Linked DNA regions of Danio rerio. The protein of the gene in region 1 purifies or fractionates together with the protein of each later gene. This does not show direct contact. Links are inferred from orthologs where the notes say so. Each region holds a gene or a part of one and is shown in the gene's direction. Other genes may lie near its edges. The genes, in order: si:ch211-140b10.6, polr3c, polr3f, crcp and polr1e.

Region 1 (4,131 bases):
TCCTCTGAATGCATTTCTGTTTTTAGTGAATCTAAACTTATATTTAAATACATTTAATTTAAATAAATATCTAAAGAAAAAAAACATTAATTAAATAGTAATTATTGCTCACAAGTGACTTAGAATTAAGATATTTGATCAAGTTTTTTTTAATTATAAGCATTAAAACATAACACTATGTATTAATAAAAATTCAGACACAAACTATATCCAAGACCATTACAATAAGTGCAAAAAGCCACATCCAGAAATAATATTAAAACAAAAACATAACAAGTAAAAATATTAAATTAAATATAACTAGTAATAAAAAAAAAAGATTGGCACACAATCAGACTACAGTGAGGGATCAGTACCAGAAAAAAAAACTTCATGAAATCTAACATCAAGTCATTTTTTTGTTATTAATTTGCATTAGAAACTTTTTCAAAGTTTCCATTTCTAATAAAAATTAATAGCATTTTGGTATACACTTCGCAAACTTCTGTTTATGAATAAAATATTAACCTTGTAGCATGTAAAAATTAACAACATACCAACATACTCTAATGAGTGTGTGTGTGTGTGTGTGTGTGTGTGTGTGCGTGCGTGCGTGCGTGCGTGCGTGTGTGTGTGTGTAAAGAGCAAATACAATCTTTTAACATGTATTTGCCCAAATAACACGTCACTAACATCATACTAAAATGTAAGAGACATCACAGTTATAGAAAAGATGTGATAAGTGTGCAAGTATTGTCAACATTCATGTATTTAGATAAGATAAAAAGAGATTAATTGATTTATTTATTATTTTATTTATTATTTTTTTATTATTATTAAACAGCAGCAAATATACAATTTAAACATGACATCCAAAACTACAAATGTAACCTATAACATAAAATAAACTAAAATATAAATTACATAAGTTAAATAAATAAAAAGACTGTAAAGATATTATGTCATGTAATGCGCTTTGGGATCATGTAATGACGTAAAGAACCGTCGGAACATGTTGAACTGTTCCATTCAGAGCTGCTGTTCAAATGAACCATTTGATGAAATGACTCTGATTTTTTCACTACCGTTCGTTTGACAGGCTGCAGACGGCGCTGTTAGTCGAATATCAGTTGTGACCATCGAGATGCCTGATTAAAGTGCGATCGTAAAACCTATTATTAAGTCAAATAATAAACTAAAATAGACTGTTTAAATGTACGTACTTTTTGTTCCAAGTGCAGATAGTTTCTACATTTTTAGTTTGAATTTTACTGTCTGCTCACTTCCGCAAATTTAGTCAAAACTAAGATGGTCAAGCGGACCGGGGTCCTAAATTGGGTCCTCGAGAATAGTAAACACTAACGTTACTGGTTAGCAAGCTGGAACAAGCTATAAATTAACAGTGACTGCGGTTTAAGGTTAATTAGATCATGGAAGACAGTGAACTGGAAAGGTATGATATTTCTAAATGTCAATTTTCCCCCTTTTGACCAGTTTATTGGACTAGTTTACGATGCAGAATATGCTAACGCCCTCGGCTTCGTGCAAATTGGTCAGTAAATTTGTGTAAACCAAAACCTGAGACGAAGCACCATACTTTTGTTATATAGCAAACATTTCGGTATCCTAGAAAAGTCTATTTTGCACCGTCAGAGATTTAAACGTGCTATTTAATTTGGGGTCACGGTAATACATAAATTAACCCGTTTCTGTCGTCAAATGTCTCACTGTAAATAATTTCCCCAGAAAAGCAGTGGAGGAGCTCCTTAAAGAAGCGAACAGAGCAAAAGCCCGTGTCGAGACAATGGGTCCTGCTGGATGGTAAGTTTGGATCACTAAATTGATAAATTACAGATATTTAAAGTGACCAATTTGAAGTCTTTTTCTATTATTAGTAACCACTATTGCCCCCACTCTTTTACACACACGCGCACACACACAAGGGTGTAACTTTGGTTTTCGGATGTGAACTTAAACCTGTGTATGTATATATACAGTACTGAGTACACCCCTTAAAGATCTGTATTTTAAATTAATATGTAGTATAAAATGCTTTACAGTAATGCATTTTGCACAAACTCTTTAGATTTTAAGGTACAAAAGCCAAAACTGTGACTAATCAAATATGCTTTTCACAATAATCAATATATCGACTTATCGCACAACACATTGACATGACATCTATCATTTTTGGTGATGTAATATATATTGCCCATATATAAAAGTCAATTCTAGCAACATTTTAGCTGATGGTGCAACCTCTTTATGTTACTGTAGTATATTTTCATGCAGGTGTCTGACAACTGAAAATAGATCTGGTAGCAGATCTTGCAGCCTCTGTTACTTTTTACATTGCACTTTTTACTACTATTTATTCAGGATATGTGTTTTCACATGCTGATTCCCCTGCCTCATTATTAAAGTTAAAATGACTATAAATTAAATGAAACATCCTTAAGAATAAAATATTATGTGGTCTTTAGAAGAGTGTACTTGCATTTTGATGTTATTATATTGTCATTTTGGCATTATATAATAAGTGGCATAAAATGGTCTCAAAATGACAATATTGTTCATCATAATATATGTTGGTGCAATATATCATACAAGAAAAAATAGATATTATGACAAGCTTATAATTAAAAAAAACTATTTAAGATCACAGTGCAAAAATCAGTACACCTTAATTAATATACTGGGGGAAAATATTAAATAATATATTAATAAACGGGAAAAATACTTTTTTTTTTTTTTTTTTGCAAAAACTTGTTTGATTGTAAGTGTATTATTTTCTATCCTCGAAGGTGTTAAATGACTGAACCATATAACTGTTCTGTTTAAATAAACCAAAGATGATTGGCTGTATTCATTGGAAAATGGCTAGAAGAAATATTTATTTTTAATTGGGTGTAATCGTTTTTACTGGTGTTTTTACGGGAGAATCTTGTGGGAGTGCGGTAACAAAAGTGTCAAATGACTAATAATTGTAGAACATTTGAGCTGGCTTCAGTCCTTAGTTCTTTCATTTTCCTTTTCATTTTATTAAAATATATGTATTTAACTTGTTTGTTAATTAAATACAGTTCTGTCATTTAACCTATTATTTTTATGCAACAGTCAAGTTGCATGCTAATTTGCTCTGTGAAGGTTACGCGATTTATGTTTAAAATGTTGGTTATCGTCCTCCAAATCAAAAGATGTATGTACAGTATGTATGTATGTATAGACATTTACATTAGATGTTGCCTACGCTTTTTTCATCTATTGAAAGGAATTTGTCGATAGAGTCGCCATTTTAGTACAGGGTAGCGCTTCTTTAAAATGAATGTGGGTTCAAGGTGCAGCGGAGGACTGGCCATCCATATATACACATATACACATTTATTTACGATCGGGGGGTTTTCCATTGGTCAGTATGCAAATATTTTATGAAATTACAAAAATTATAAGTTTACATCACTTTTCTATATTGATGGATAAATGATTGCATGGGCATTCCTGGCAAAGAGTGTGTGATTGTGTGCATGGAAATGTATTATCTACCCTCCCTGTTTAATTTGATCTAATTCATGTCCTTAAACACACCCCCTCTCCTGCTTTCACTTTTCATTCCAACGGAGGGAGGGATTCGTTTGTGAATGAATCTCTGTTAAGAAGGACTTGATCACTTAGTTGACAATAATACAAGTTTTCACAGCAGCACCTTCTTGTTATATTTCATTTACATTGTTATCTCATTTTATTCAACAAAACTAGCATAAGTCTAGAATTGAGTGCCAGTTTGTAACATACAAAAACATAAAAAACGAAATCTTACCTATGAAATGTTCTGCCTTTGTGCTTGGTTTTCTTTGTTTGCTTGTTACTACACCCGTAAGCAGTGCTAAAGTCCAGCATCTTCACATTGGCTTTAGTCTTGATTAGTGCAGTTGAATGATGTCCTGGGAGCACTGTACAAATGTGGCGGCGCAATTGACGCATGCTCAGGAACCATATGCGATAGTGTATATATCTATGGAATGTATGTATGTATGTATGTATGTATGTATGTGTGTAATTAACTACTATATATGTCTCCTAAAGCTGCTTAAATTGCCGTTTTGTTTTAGGATGAAATGTCCACTGGGAAGCACAAACAAGCGCTTTCTCCTC
Region 2 (3,517 bases), on another chromosome or scaffold:
TTTGATTTATTTACAGTACAGTTTTTAAAATCATATTTATTCTCTTTTAGCAGATCTATTTAATGAGGGACTTGCTTTGTTTACCAAACAAGTGAATCTAGATGGATTTGCTTTGTAAACATTAAATAAAAGTTTAAAAGGTTTTATTTTATTTACTTTTATTTCTTGTGTTTTTAGTTACGATAATCCTGAAATCATTCCGCATGAATCCGCAGATGTTTTAAAAATTCTTAGCAGAAATAGTAAAAACATGTCTGCAGATTCTGTCTGGCCCTTATCAAGACTTCTTTTCACTCCTTTTGTATTATATGTAAAGGAAATCCCCAAAACACCTGATCACGCACCCTCTCGAACCTTCTACCTGTACACAGTTAATCAGCTGCCCACCGCAAGACTACTTCTGCAACACTGCTACAAGGTACGTAGCTCGCACGAACAGCTTTAAAGCATTTGTTTAATTAATGAGTGTATTTTTTGATTTGATATCTGTGTGTGAACCTCTTTACAGACAGTTGGGAACTTGATTGAGCGGCGGCTGTATGAGACCAAAGAGAACAAGCAAGTCTCTTCTCCTTTTCAACATTAAAACATTTAAAGGGATAGATCACTCGAGAAGCTATAATGATCATTTACTCATCCTTTACATGTTTTTAACCTTCATGGGTTTCTTACCTCTGTTGAAAACAAACAAAGATATTTAGAAAAATGTTGGAAACCTATAAGTAATTTGAAACCTTTTTACTCTTGAACACAAACAAAGACATTTGTAGAAAGCTCAAAACCAGTAACCATTGACTTCCATAGTAGGGAAAACAAATACTATGAATGGAAGTCAGTGGTTTCCGGTTTTGAGCTTTCTTGAAAATATTTTCTTTTGTGTTCAAGAATAAAAAGAAAGCTTTGAAATTACTTGAGGTTAAGATAATGTTCGTTTTGAGTGAACTAACCCTTTAATCTACTGTGGAAGTTTTTGATTTTGTCATTAATGTTTTGTTTATTATTATTTTGACAGGCGGCTTTTGGAGAAATCTCAGCGGATTGAGGCCATCCTAGCATCCTTGCAGGCGACCGGTGCGGAGGCGACACAGCTGACCGAGGTGGAGGAGATGATCACAGCTCCTGAGAGACAGCAGCTCGAGTCCCTGCGACACCATATAAACAAGTACTGCAAACCAAGTCCCCTTCCTTTCTGTAGCATTTTATATATTGTAGAAAGACAATAGGTGATCAAATTAAAAAATCTGATAACAATATTTTAATTTGTGGGACATATTCAGCATTTCAGCCAGGTAGCAGTACAGTGGTAGAATGCTAGATATGTGCTAGTTAGTTAAAAACTGATTCAGTTCATTTAATATAAATGTCAGTGTTAAAGGACGATCCCCTGATTTCAAACAAATCAGATCTTTACCACTTTGGGCCCTATCGTACACTCGGTGTAACAAGGCACAAGATGGGTTTCCACGACGTGTTGCTATTTTCAGACCAACGCAACATTAATTTTCCCGTTTTCCGCCCCGTTGTTTAAATAGCAAATCCATTTGAGGCACTTTGTGGACTTATGGATGTTTCAGTCTAGAAAAGAGGTGTGTTAAGGCGCATTGTTGGCGCGTAGCTATTTTGAGGAACTAAAATAGACTGTTCAATAGACATTTATCATGTTTGTAAACATTCAAGATGCGCGCAATGGCTAAAAAACCGGGAGCACTACCATTTACAGCGAGGGAATGACATCTGATGTAGTACAGAGTTCGTTGTTGTCTTAGAAATAAGTTATATTGATTACATATTATATATATTATTTACATAATGCTTTTAGCGTATTATAACAGCTCGTCACTAAGTGATAAACACAGTTATTCTGCTAAATTTACATTAAGGTGAGCGCCATTCGTCTGACAGGTCTATTTGCGATAGCACTCTCCCAATGATTATTGGATAAGACGAAATGGCCAAGCATCGAAAAATACAATCTCATTGAAGCTCTAAGTGTTTTTACAAGAGAGAAGTTAAAGGTCTACAAGTCTTTGGATGCCAACAATTTTGTTTAGCGTGGTCATGTGCAAGAAATAATGTTTCCAATTCACCTATAGCGCATGTCTTCGGACATGTGGGGTAAACCGGAGCAAACCCACCAGAACATGCAAACTCCTCACAGAAATGGCAGTTGAACCACCCAGGGCTCAAACCAGCGACCTTCTTGCTGTGAGGTAATTGTGCTACACACTGCTGCCCTAAAGAGGTTTAACATGTATTAAATAGTTTTTAAACCTTACCGTTTCGTGACTGAGTGCACATTCTGTATTTCTGAATGGCTGTATTTAAATTTCTGTTGTGTTTCATCTGGTGCAAACAGCCTAATTGCTCATCACGGCAAATCTTTTCACACAGTGTGTTGTTAGGACACACGGTTACAATGTTACCTCTGCTCACCTAATGATTACATTCATAATATTTAAATGATCTGCTAATTGATAACCTCATGTGCAACTCTCAATCGGCATCTCATTTCAGAGTCTACTACTGTCCACCAGAGGTTGCAGTTTGGTCACGGATGAATGTTTTCAAAGCCTTTCTGAATAGCGAATGAATAAAATACGCAGTTTTCCAACAAGGCAACTCGGGCTGCTGAAATATAATTGGCTAAAGTGGCACTGGGTGGGTTAAAAGAACCAAAACAAAGACAGCGTTCCAGCATGTAACAGACATTTTCAAAGTAGAATATCTGACTTCAGCATTGTTTTTCAGATAAACAAGATCTGTTCGCTTAGCATGTTTCTTAAGTATCTGCAAACATATTATGGTATTTTTATGCATTTGAAGAGTCAAAATCGTACAGAGAGCACCTTTAAATATTGAATTATTTAGAAACTTACACTGACAGAATTACACTGTGGATTCCATCTTGTGGTCAGATTCGGGAATTCATTATCCGTCCGATTGTTCGCGCTTTATCGAGTTGCATTATGGGATTGATTTTAGCACACTTCAGAATGTCCACTGTAGACACATTTACAAATTACTGCTCCCTCAAATAGATTAAGGGTATAGTTTGTGATTTTGGATACAGCCAGGGCGTTAGTACACATTGTGTCGAATCATGTGGTTTATATTCAGTCAATCATTAATCAAATCTCTTCTCTTTGTGCTCATGGTGGCAGGTTGGATTCCAGCGAAAACCAGGTGGATGAGACCATTTTTCTTCTGGAATCCTACATTAACTCCACACAGGCCTCTCGCTGACTGTAGACTAGTTTAGGATGTGAAATAGATGGATAAAGGTAAATTGTCAAATGGAGATGTTTATTTCCTTTGGAACAAAGAGTGACCGATTTGTATTTAATCACATTTTGTGTGCGTGTGTGCATGTGTGTGTGTGTGTGTTTGTGTTTGTGTTTGTGTGTGTGTGTGTGTGTGTGTGTGTGTGTGTGTGTGTGTGTGTGTGTGTGTGGCTGCAAATGCAATTTTAGCATCCTTTTTTTTTCTCATGTGGAAAAAATAAAAAAGTGGAGTTCTG
Region 3 (4,204 bases), on another chromosome or scaffold:
ATATTATAAGTAATAAGGTTTTCAAACCATACTATTGTACGTTTAAATTAATCTGTTGCGCTAACTCAATTAATTGTTTAGGTATTACAACACATGTAGTAACAAACTAGTTTCTTAAATATAAAGGTTTTCTACAACTAAATGGTTTATTATACTACAATACTCCACAGTTTGCTGTTGTAAAACCAAAAGTTAATACAGTATTTATTACAGATTTACAGTTTACTATAGTTAATACTTCACTATGCTGTAGCATTCATTAACAAAGTGTTGTAAATACTATATTACAATCAAAAACACTATAGTATTTACAATAAACTGCTATATAAATTCTTTCATGATGTGGGAAAGCACAAAACAAAATCTCAAAGTTTTAATAAAAATCAACACTTGTAGCAGTGCCTGTAGTTAAAAACAACACACACATTATTATAAAAAACAAAGCATAAAATGTACCTACATAGAGACGGCCATGGCTTTCACATACACTTTCCCCACAGGTAACCGAACAGGTTCAGTGTACTTTAGAGTGCTGTCAGCAAAACCTGGCCTCTTTGTCAGCTCCGGCTTACTGCCGTCCAGCGTGTACAGGACCCTCACATCAGGGGATTCTGGGAAATATACATTATAAAACACATGAAAATCAACAAGACGCAGGCTTGTGCTAAAGAGATCAACCAAAAATGTCATTTCCTCTTACTCAAACGGTTCTAAAATGTTATAAATGTCTTTCTTCTGTTAAACATGAAACAAGACATTCTGAAGAATGTTGTAAACCAGCAGCCATTCACTCCCATAGAAGGAACATATTTTGATTGTCTATTGCTGATGCTTTCCAACATTTTTCAAAATATCTTCTTTTGCGTTCAACAGAAGAAAGTTATTCATAAAACTTAGAATAAGTGGAGGTTGAGAGCTTTTTCATTTTGGGGTGAACTGTATCTTTAGAGCTAAACTGACTCACCTGACTTGATCTCAACAGGAGTGCTGGAGTCTATCTCATGCTTGGCTTTACCTGGAGGAGGAATGCGGATGGGGATTATTTGAGGTGCTGCCACTGATCCTGCAGTCATGTTTGTGCTCTTTAACCTGCAATATAGAAAATAAAATATATCATTAGAATGACATAAAATGCTTAACGTTATACTATTATTAGTGCATTAGGCTACTGGATAATAAGAGCTTACACAGACTATTTTTTGTAGATTGAAGTATCTCTAATCACTTTACAATTGAATTGTAAATATTTCGTATATTTATATTAAATGAGTGTTTTTTTCGATGACACTCGAAGCACACGATGTGTACGGTGTGTACAAGACGCTGTAATGTTAGACTGAACACACAGCTGGCTGCGCTATTGGTGGGTCACGTTACCCATGGCAACTGATTAGTGCGCATGCGCTCATTTCCCACAGTCAAATTTAAAGGGGTAACTCACTCCTCTTGACATTAATTCTGTAGCCATTACTTCATATTATTTTCGTCCATGGAAAACACAATTAGAAAAATTCAAAATCGTTTATTATTTTCTTGAAACGGTCTAAAAGGTTGGCTTTTGATTGACCCAGCTCCCTCTACAGAATTGTGGTAAAATTTTAGATTCACACATTCGGACTTTCCTCAATAATTTAACTTTTTTTTAGTTTTTTTTTGCAAATTATAATATAAAATATTAGCAGCCAATGACTATCTAAGCACAACATTGTTCACAGTCAAATAAATATTGCTAATGTTGTTTTGAAGCCGTGTGACTGAATATTCAAAGTACCATGATAAACAATATAGGGAACATGTCACAACTTGTCACTGAATGAATGTGCCAATATAAAACCAACTTTAGCTCAATCTCTAGGGACCAGTAACTGGATCAGATTTTTATATCAATTTTACTTTACAAATTCTCTATTTGTCTATTTTACCTGAAACAATTTCCCGTGTATTCTCATTAAATAAATTTTAACACATGCGTACTTGATGCAATATTTTAAACAAAGTTTTTTTTTTAAATCATATGTCTTTATGTTTGTAAAAGAACACCCAAATCGCCATTCAGCATAATTTATGTAAAAAAAATTAAAAACATTGTGACCTAAAGCATAAAACAAGATCAATGTAATTCTATTTTGAAAGTACAGCATATATACGTTTTATAAAGCTTAAATTAATTATCAAAAGTACAATTAATTAGTGTGTCACAAAAGTCTTGTGTATTTTACTGGGGTATTATACTATAGACCATTTCAAGGGATGTAAACAATAACAATGGCACTAATGTATTTCCTCTATGACATTTAGAATTTCCATAGCTTCCAAGAATAAAAAAGGACCACAAATTGATAAATAATGTTATAGCAGCTGTTTTAAAGTTAATATATGATTAAATTGATTTGTTACAGTTATGAAGTAGTTCAACAACGAGCAGGAAATGTTCATGGGTCAGTGACATTGCCACATCGAAATGGTCTATTTATAACTCTAAATTATATTTTAACGGGAGTCTTCTACAGTGTTGGAGGTAATGCGCATTACAAGTAACGTGAGTTCCGTGATAGTATTACTTTTCTAAGTAACGAATAAAGTAACACATTACCTTCAGAAATTAAGTAATAAAATTTTAGTTACTTTTTAAAAAGTGTAATGTGAGTTACTTTTTAGTTTAAGTAATTCGCTTTAAAAAAATAAATTGCTGAATTAAAATGAATGCCACACTCGATGAGAGAACGCAGGAACAGACAGACATGAAGATGGCAGAGCTATAAATTTCTGCGATGGAAATATTCTCATTACTTTGAACACATGGAGGAAAAGCAAAAGAGTATCATTTGAATAGATTTTACTCCCAAGACAAAAAGTACTAAAGTAGGAAAAGCATTCTTTTAAACATTCATTATGCACCATGTATAGCTCTGGGCTCAGAAACTGATTCGAAGATAACTTTATCCTACATAATTTTTAGGAATTCAGATTTTTTTTTTTTTTAGGAAAAGAATTTTATACAGTGTGTTGTTAACTGTAGAGCTAAAAAATGAAGAAGAAGAAAAAAAACCTGCAATGTCTGCAAGAGATCAGCCAGCCTCACATAGGTCAAAAAAAGTAAAGCAAAAGTAACATAACGCATTACCTACCATAAAAAGTAACTAAGTAATGTAACTAGTTACTTTTTTGGGGAGTAACTCAATACTGTAAAGCATTACTTTCTGAAGTAACTTTCTCCAACACTGGTCCTCTTTAAATCATGAGGATATTTTAGTCACAGATATACTCCCGTACAGTAGGTGGCGATGTAAATCTTTTGTCTAGATTTGAAGCTTTCAGTTTCTGTTGCCATATCCGTGTTTTATCAACGAATGTAGAATACTTCCGTTATAAATACTAAAAGTCGTGTCTTAACTCCGAAATATAATTGGGTTTGACAAAACAAAATGCTTAATTCTCCGTTAAAAAGAGACAAGCCACCGATGTTGCGATCCTATTTGACAGCAGTCTGATGGGTTATTTTTCGCTGTCTGGCAACCCAGTCGCCTGTAAACTCTCCCCGCCTCTCGCACACTGCAATACCACACGGCGTTTCATCTTAGCTTTAAATGGGTCTATGAATGTATTGTTTTGTTGACACTAGGTCTAATACTCCAGTAACTCCAGTCTGATGCACAATGACAGAAGTTAAAGTCAAAAAAGAGTCAACGGACCCTGTAGATATCGAGAATAGGTGAGTTGAACGCAGTTAACGTTACACTATTCTTGCGCATGCGGCCTGTTGACGTTAACAAAACACCGTAGGACAACGTGTAAAGTTACATGGATTTAAAAAAGCAATTAAAGTTTCCATCAAATGTATTGTCTTTTTTTGCCACGTGTACATGTTTAGATACCGAAAAGTCTGACAACATGAAGCAAAATCTCTTTCTTAGTAACTTAGAGAGCTTCGTTGCATTTCATGTACGTTTTGAATGACGAAGTTTTAATAGTGTATGAGTTTGTAAACAACCTCTTTATTAGTATTATTTTAGATGAAGAACAATACATTGCATTTATGTATGTCTATTTAATGCGATATGTTTATTGGCTTGAAGTACTAGTTCAGAATTACGTCAGCAAAATGCATTAAAGTATTTTTGTTGATAAAATAAAAGTGCATCCTTTACATGTTCATCCTTTTCACAAAGACAATACGTTTTTGTTTGTTAGATAGTGTTTCCTG
Region 4 (2,617 bases), on another chromosome or scaffold:
TTCAGATAATTTCACTTGTTTTGAGGAAAAACTAATAATTTTCACCTAATTTTTCTAAAGGTGAAAACAAATACATTTTTCACTTGATCTAAGATTTTTTAGATATTTGGACTAGAAACGAAACAAAGCAAAGGAAGAAAAAAAAAAAAGATTATTCATTTTTTTGTACTTAAATATCATCTTGTGAAACTGTACTCAAATCACAATATGTATCATAGAAAAATAAAACATTGCAATATCTTATATATAAATATTTTTCTGATATCATGATGCAGCCCTGAAACCTACTGTGGAAAACCTTCAAAACTACATCAGAACCCTTTAAAATAGTGTGAATTAAGGCTTTTTAATCCATTTAATAGGAAAGTGACCATGACTGATGTTTATAATTGAACTGAATGTTTCTATTTCAAATGTTTGCATGCATTTTATATCTATTATATTTTAACAAACAAATCAACAGCACAAGTGATTATCAAGATGTGTTAAAGGGCCATGAAACCCCCCTCTTTCGGTTCATGTCTACCACCGAATTTTTTCATAAAATGCTTTGTGATGGGCGTGGAGCGCTGCGAGCAGAGGGAGGGATGGTGTGGCCGGCATAGAAGGGAAGAAAGAGGCGAGCGAACAGCTGTCAGTTGGCTCACAAAATGAGATGCACACCATGAGGAGGCGCATGATTTATAGTTTTATATTTTCCCATAGGATAAGAAAACTCAGCTACGAATAAAAATAAGAAACCGACGTGTCATCACTCCACTAGCAGATTCACGCTACGTCGCTGATTTTGATCCCGCCCCAAAAATGATTTTAAACCCAGAAGATAAAATTAGCTGACAAAAGCTTCAAATTATCCAGTTTTCCCCTCAGTTAAAGCTAACAGGTGCTAACGTTGTCTTAACTGATGGTCAACTTACACAAATCTGTTTCATCTGATCTGTTACACAAATCAAATTTCAGAACAGAACACAGTTATGGTATTTTTGATTTGATGAAAGCAGTGTTGATGAGCAAAAGATACTTTTTCTTTAGAAAAGTACAGGACAAAAAATGGTCATGCAAATGGCATAGTAAAAATAGTCTCTACAAACTAGTCTGACAATTATATTAACCAACTAAGAAACTGAAGATGTAAATTTGAAGAAAAACAGGATTTATTAATTACTGCTCAAAGCCTGTGGTACATTTATAAAAATATATATATATATATATATATATTAATAGTATTGATGAATAAACAAATAAAAAAAAAAACACTTACTGAGTCTTATGGAGTGTGAGAGTCTGAAGGGACAAAGATGGATTTCTGAACAGCCAACAAAAACTGGATGTTATTTGTATGACATCTCTATGAACTTAACTTAGGCAAGGCAAGTTTATTTATATAGCACATTTCATACACAGTGGCAATTCAAAGTGCTTTACATAAACAGGAATAAAAGATAATAAAGACTGATAATAAAAATGATTAAAAACAGATGAAAACAGACCAAATGTGTTAAAACAAGTTATAAATGTGTTATAAAACAATGAAAAATAAGAGAAAAACATATTAGTGCGATCTGACGGACCTAGCACAGTGCTCATTTAGTAAAGGCACAGCTAAACAGATGTGTTTTCAGTCTTGATTTGAACGTGCCTAATGTTGGAGCACATCTGATCATTTCTGGAAGCTGATTCCAGCAGCGAGAGGTGGAGTATCTGAAAGCCGTTTCACCCTGCTTTGAATGAACTCTTGGAATTTCTTGTTTATATGATCCTAAAGATCTTTTTTCAACTTACAGATGGTAGAGGAAAGTGAAGAAAGGCTGACAGAAGAACAGATCGATGAACTTATACAGAAAGTCACGGACATCCTGCCCGGTGACCCACAGACAGAAGCCAATGAATCTGCTGATCCTCAAATGGAGACCAACCAATAGCATTACCCCCAGAAACTCACAGTTTAATTTTTTTTTTTTAGTTTTTCATCCTTAAACGCCCAAGAGACTGACTTTAGATGGGTTGACAGTGATAATACTTACGTTTACTGTTGATCTTTATTATGTCAATGAAAACATTAGCCATTGCTACATCTAAAATAATAAAAATCCATATTTATTTAACCATAAATATCATGTTATTTTGTCAGCATTGTTTCCCATGCACAATTGTCGAAGCTGCATTGATCTTTGTTTGAGTAAGGATATGATCTTCTGGGCTCAAGACAGTCTCAGTTCCTCTGCGACATCCTTCCTGTATTGCTACTCTTTATTTCAGCTCATAAATGTTACAATCACTGACCATTTTGATTTGTGAGAAATTGCTCAAAAGCAAACCCATACCGTTTGTATGTCCATTAAGTTCAAATGTGAAACTGTGAATCAACAGTTTTTGACTTTAAAACTCTAGTATACTTGTTACAACCAAGTTAACCAGGATTTTTATCAACAAGTTGCTTAAAGGATTGTTTCACTTATAGAATGAAAAATGTCCTGGTAATGTACTCACTCTTTTGTCTTCCAAGATGTTGAATAAAAGTAAGGTACTTGGGGAGACATGCATGACTTGTACGGTGCTCCGTGTTATGAATTTCCAAACTGATATTTCAGTACAGCTTGAAAGGACTCTAAATTAT
Region 5 (4,199 bases), on another chromosome or scaffold:
AATCAAATTTTTCGTGAAAATGCTCTAAGAAACATTTCGAAATTGAACTTCCGGGTGGCGATACTAACGTTACCAATCCTGGTAGAAGAAATGCTTCACTCATGAATATTAATTACGTCACATGTCAATCTTACTTTAGTATTGCGTGATTGGGTCAGAGTTAGATTTAGTAGGCGGTCACGGAAGCGTGCCTCATGAATATTATGTTACAAAGCTGTCATGTGTATTTCCTGCCTTCTTTTCTTTTCCAAAACGCTAGAAAATAGATTTGTCTTGGTTTAAATAAACTATATTTATTTGTCGGACGTGATGCAGTGGCGCAGTAGGTAGTGCTGTCGCCTCACAGCAAGAAGGGTACTGGTTCGAGCCTCAGCTGGGTTAGTTGGCGTTTCTGTGTGGAGTTTGCATGTTCTCCCTGTGTTCGTGTGGTTTTCCCCACAGTCCTAAGACATGCGGTACAGGTGAATTGGGTAGGCTAAATTGTCCATAGTGTATGAGAGAGACCTAGAGATGGGTTGCAGCGGGAAGGGGATCTGCTGCGTAAAACATATGCTGGATAAGTTGGCGGTTCATTCTGCTGTGTTGACCTCAGATTAAAAAAGGGACTGAGTCGAATAGAAAATGTACTCTCAACATTTTGTTTAAAAACTTTAATGGTTTGCCACAAAAGAGTTTTTTGGGTTTATTGGGTTTATCAAAATGATTGGGTTTTACAGTGCAGTTACAATAAAATGTTAAAATCTTTATGTTGAAACTGTAGTTTCAGAGAAATTTGAGAAACACCAGAGTTGATTATTTTTAGGATCCCTCTGCAAAACATGGTGAAGGAGCCTCAGACATTGCATTAATAAAATTGAATGTCAGTGCTGTCTGATCTGATTGTAAAATAAATCATAGAAACTTGTGCTGTTGGGCACAAACTGTCTGTGTGGTGTAAATAATCAGCATTACTTAGTCATGTCTACAAGCATAAACCTTATTCTGGACATAATCTAAACTAGTGTATGAATATTATAGTTTTATTGCTCAGTCCTAACATGAAATTCAATATAAAAAGCTTGTAGAATTAAGAATACTTATTTGCCATCATCAGTTTAAAATAAATTTCCTTCACTTTATTTTTATTTATTTCAGTTTAAACATCAGTTTAGGCCTTTATTTATTTATTTTGTCATTTATTTTGCATTTTAGACCAAATTCAGCCTTGGAGAACAAAATAGACTACTTTCAAAAGCTTTTACAATACATTTTGAAAGGCTTTTAATCCATATTTATTCAATTTTAAAAATAGTTGTGCAAATTCAATTAATATCATATCAGAACAATTGAATGGAAGTTTCTGTTTAAACTGTTTAAACCGATTGGTGTCGCTGTTCGTGCAGGAACGCGTGCTAATATCAGCCGAGGAAACCGTAATAATGGCGGCGACCTGTTCGTGGAAAACATGTGAAGAAACGGAACAGAATACTTTTATTGGTAATGTTTTAATACCCAGAGTATCATAAATGTAACATAATATATAATTGCTGTTATTTGTTAGCTGTAATAAACTAATCTTATTCTTCCTCTATGTATTTAACGCACCCACGTGGATATGGTCATCTCGACCAAATAATAAACAATGTACACTCAGTCTAACAGTATAGTTTTTAAAACTGTCACGCATTGTATTTTAAAGCATTATTCTTGTCATTACAGTTAAGTTCTCTAATGGAAATGTGAAAAATGCCGAGGAGCTGGACTTTACTGTCTTCAAACACTCAAATGCATCAAATCCCAGAAAGAAAAACAGACGAATAGTGGTAAAACACTTATACCTACTGAAACTGCGTTTGTTTTATAACTTTAAAAAGTCTAAATTGAAGCAATTGTGTTGTTTGTGCTTTTAGGAACTAACTTTATCTTTTCTATGCAGGTTGCAGATTCAGATAGGCTTCCCTATGTAGGGAGCAATTTTGGGTCTGGATCGCTGCAGTCTAATAATATGTGCAAGTGAGGTCATCACGTTGTTATTTATTTGCTGAGCAACACTTAAATAACCTCTCAATAATGGTGTGTAAATGTTGTCAACAGGTATTTTGTGGGAGTTCTTGACAAGCAGACTATGCAAATGAAAGTTCATAGTGCTCAGCTGTTCAATATGCTGCCCGTCATACCAGGTAAACAGTTTTACATCTGAAATATTATGGACATAAATGTTTAGGGTTCTTAGAGTTCAAAGGAACTTTTACTCGTTTTTGGGGGTGAAATTGTTTGCATGCCTCTAAGTCTGTAACGTTAGTAATATTATTTGTATTACCATGTTACTGAGTGCTGTTAGTATAATATCTCATACATTATTATATTGTGTAATAATCGTTAATGGTTATCATTTATAGTGAACATGAATATTTATACTATTCAAATATTTTTGTCATGACAGCGCTCTGAGAGGTTTAGTATGGTAATATATATGTATTTGGCATTGTTGATGTATTTGGTCTTGGCGGCATAGATCTGCTACGCAGCTGCTGCTTTGATTGCTATGGCGGAACAAGTTCTGTGACTTGCTGCTGCCAGTATATTCACAGACATGCAGTATAGACTTTTTTGAGAGATGTAAACAATAACTATGGTTTAAATGTATTTCCTGTTTTACATTTTTTGTTTCCATAGTTTCTAAAAGGTCCACCTATTGATAATGTTATGACAGCTGTTTTTAACGTTAAGATGGGATTTCATTGAAATGCCTCTTGTTACAGTTATGAAATAGTTTGACAGGACATGTTCATTGGCCAGTGATATCATATTGAAATGGTATATATATATATATATATATATATATATATATATATATATATATATATATATATATATATATATAAAACCCATAGCAGATATATGGAGGGGGTACTCTGAAAAACACACTTTATACTATATAATGCTCCACTATTTTCTTTTCCAATTCAACAGTAATGTTTTGGGCTATGTTCACACTGCAGCCAAATGTGGCCCAGATCAGATTTTTTTGCTTACATGTGGCTCAAGTAATGACCAAACTGCATGGAATCTCATCTTTATAGTTCAGATTTGTGCCACTATCAAATGCGAAATGCATCATTATCTGTGCTGCAAACATCATCTATTCCTCAGCAGCATTGTAGAATGACGAACAGGACAATTACTTTACCACAGAAATTGGTTGTTCATTTTAAAAAAGATTTTGAAGGCAAAACTGGTTTTGTTAACGATGCGTACACTAAGGAGGGGGCACTTTCATTTTAAGGGGGAAATTTCTTTCCAATAGAAAAAAGGGCAGGTGCTCGAGCACCCGAATCCCCCTTCAGCACGTGCCTGCTGTTTATAAGGAAGTAAAATAAAATAACTCTGCAAACAGAGACCAACTCCACCTTCACAGTTCAGTTTGCGACTGCTCATTAACCCTTGATGAGTTTACCACAGCGGTGGTCAGAAAGACACGCACCGCGGTTGTCATAGATCACAAATGATCAGTGTTTTCAAATCACAAGTGACTTATTTTAGGTCTGAAATGCCGTAATACGCGTTCGTAGTAGCAGAACAATCCTTTAAATTTTATGAAATATGAAAAGGGCAATAATCATGTAAGCATGATCTGACAATTTGCTTACTTCATACATTTCGTGCAAAATTAGACATTTTGTGCTGTCCGTAATGTACTTTTGCGCATGCAGATCTGTTCACACTGCAAATCTGATATTGGCCACATTAATAACAACAATGTAAACAGCTATGCCAAAAAAAATAAATCAGATCTGAGAAAAAAATCAGATTTGTGCACTAAGCCTCGCCATGTTAACACAGCCTTGGAGCCAGGAAAGTGAGTTATGGTTTTATTTAGTTTAATTGTTTGTCACTGAACAGGATGTGCATTGTTAATTCTGTGTCTTCAGGTGAAGCAACAGAAGCTGAAAGCGAAAATCAACCCTCAACATTCAGAGATAAGGTAAGTAGCTCATCAGGTGAATGTCTAAATGTATTGAACATATTACTATATTAAACTGTATATACCGTTGAAGTCAGAATTATTAGCCCACCCTAATTATTAGCCCCCTGTTTATTTTCTCCCCAATTTCTGTTTGACGGAGAGAAGTTTTTTTTAGCACATTTCTAAACAATAATTTTAATAACTGATTTTTTTTTATCTTTGCCATGATGACAGTAAATAATATTTGATTAGA

The links.
Region 2: the proteins of si:ch211-140b10.6 (region 1) and polr3c purify together in Homo sapiens (affinity purification with mass spectrometry; 3 studies listed by BioGRID and IntAct, with this or other methods). This does not show direct contact. The link is inferred for Danio rerio from reciprocal best matches to the Homo sapiens genes POLR1D and POLR3C.
Region 3: the proteins of si:ch211-140b10.6 (region 1) and polr3f purify together in Homo sapiens (affinity purification with mass spectrometry; 3 studies listed by BioGRID and IntAct, with this or other methods). This does not show direct contact. The link is inferred for Danio rerio from reciprocal best matches to the Homo sapiens genes POLR1D and POLR3F.
Region 4: the proteins of si:ch211-140b10.6 (region 1) and crcp purify together in Homo sapiens (affinity purification with mass spectrometry; 5 studies listed by BioGRID and IntAct, with this or other methods). This does not show direct contact. The link is inferred for Danio rerio from reciprocal best matches to the Homo sapiens genes POLR1D and CRCP.
Region 5: the proteins of si:ch211-140b10.6 (region 1) and polr1e purify together in Homo sapiens (affinity purification with mass spectrometry; 3 studies listed by BioGRID and IntAct, with this or other methods). This does not show direct contact. The link is inferred for Danio rerio from reciprocal best matches to the Homo sapiens genes POLR1D and POLR1E.

What each region holds. Positions count from the first base shown.
Region 1 is NC_133199.1:25,556,366-25,560,496, forward strand, and holds the start of si:ch211-140b10.6 (protein POLR1D-like), read left to right. Parts: upstream 1-1,322; 5' UTR 1,323-1,409; coding exon 1,410-1,432; intron 1,433-1,725; coding exon 1,726-1,800; intron 1,801-4,088; coding exon 4,089-4,131.
Region 2 is NC_133191.1:14,620,381-14,623,897, forward strand, and holds part of polr3c (DNA-directed RNA polymerase III subunit RPC3), read left to right. Parts: intron 1-316; coding exon 317-418; intron 419-508; coding exon 509-558; intron 559-1,012; coding exon 1,013-1,162; intron 1,163-2,093; coding exon 2,094-2,210; intron 2,211-3,161; coding exon 3,162-3,243; 3' UTR 3,244-3,281; exon of another isoform or gene 3,282-3,517. UniProt on the Homo sapiens protein: DNA-dependent RNA polymerase catalyzes the transcription of DNA into RNA using the four ribonucleoside triphosphates as substrates.
Region 3 is NC_133197.1:25,888,516-25,892,719, reverse strand, and holds the start of polr3f (DNA-directed RNA polymerase III subunit RPC6), read left to right. Parts: upstream 1-1,388; 5' UTR 1,389-1,590; intron 1,591-3,527; exon of another isoform or gene 3,528-3,656; coding exon of another isoform or gene 3,657-3,712; intron 3,713-4,204. Other genes in the region: dzank1 (double zinc ribbon and ankyrin repeat-containing protein 1), read right to left, coding at 461-611, 965-1,073. UniProt on the Homo sapiens protein: DNA-dependent RNA polymerase catalyzes the transcription of DNA into RNA using the four ribonucleoside triphosphates as substrates.
Region 4 is NC_133196.1:33,901,385-33,904,001, reverse strand, and holds the end of crcp (DNA-directed RNA polymerase III subunit RPC9), read left to right. Parts: intron 1-1,784; coding exon 1,785-1,922; 3' UTR 1,923-2,112; downstream 2,113-2,617. UniProt on the Homo sapiens protein: DNA-dependent RNA polymerase catalyzes the transcription of DNA into RNA using the four ribonucleoside triphosphates as substrates.
Region 5 is NC_133176.1:21,147,704-21,151,902, reverse strand, and holds the start of polr1e (DNA-directed RNA polymerase I subunit RPA49), read left to right. Parts: upstream 1-1,383; 5' UTR 1,384-1,418; coding exon 1,419-1,476; intron 1,477-1,698; coding exon 1,699-1,802; intron 1,803-1,915; coding exon 1,916-1,992; intron 1,993-2,073; coding exon 2,074-2,159; intron 2,160-3,911; coding exon 3,912-3,964; intron 3,965-4,199. UniProt on the Homo sapiens protein: Component of RNA polymerase I (Pol I), a DNA-dependent RNA polymerase which synthesizes ribosomal RNA precursors using the four ribonucleoside triphosphates as substrates.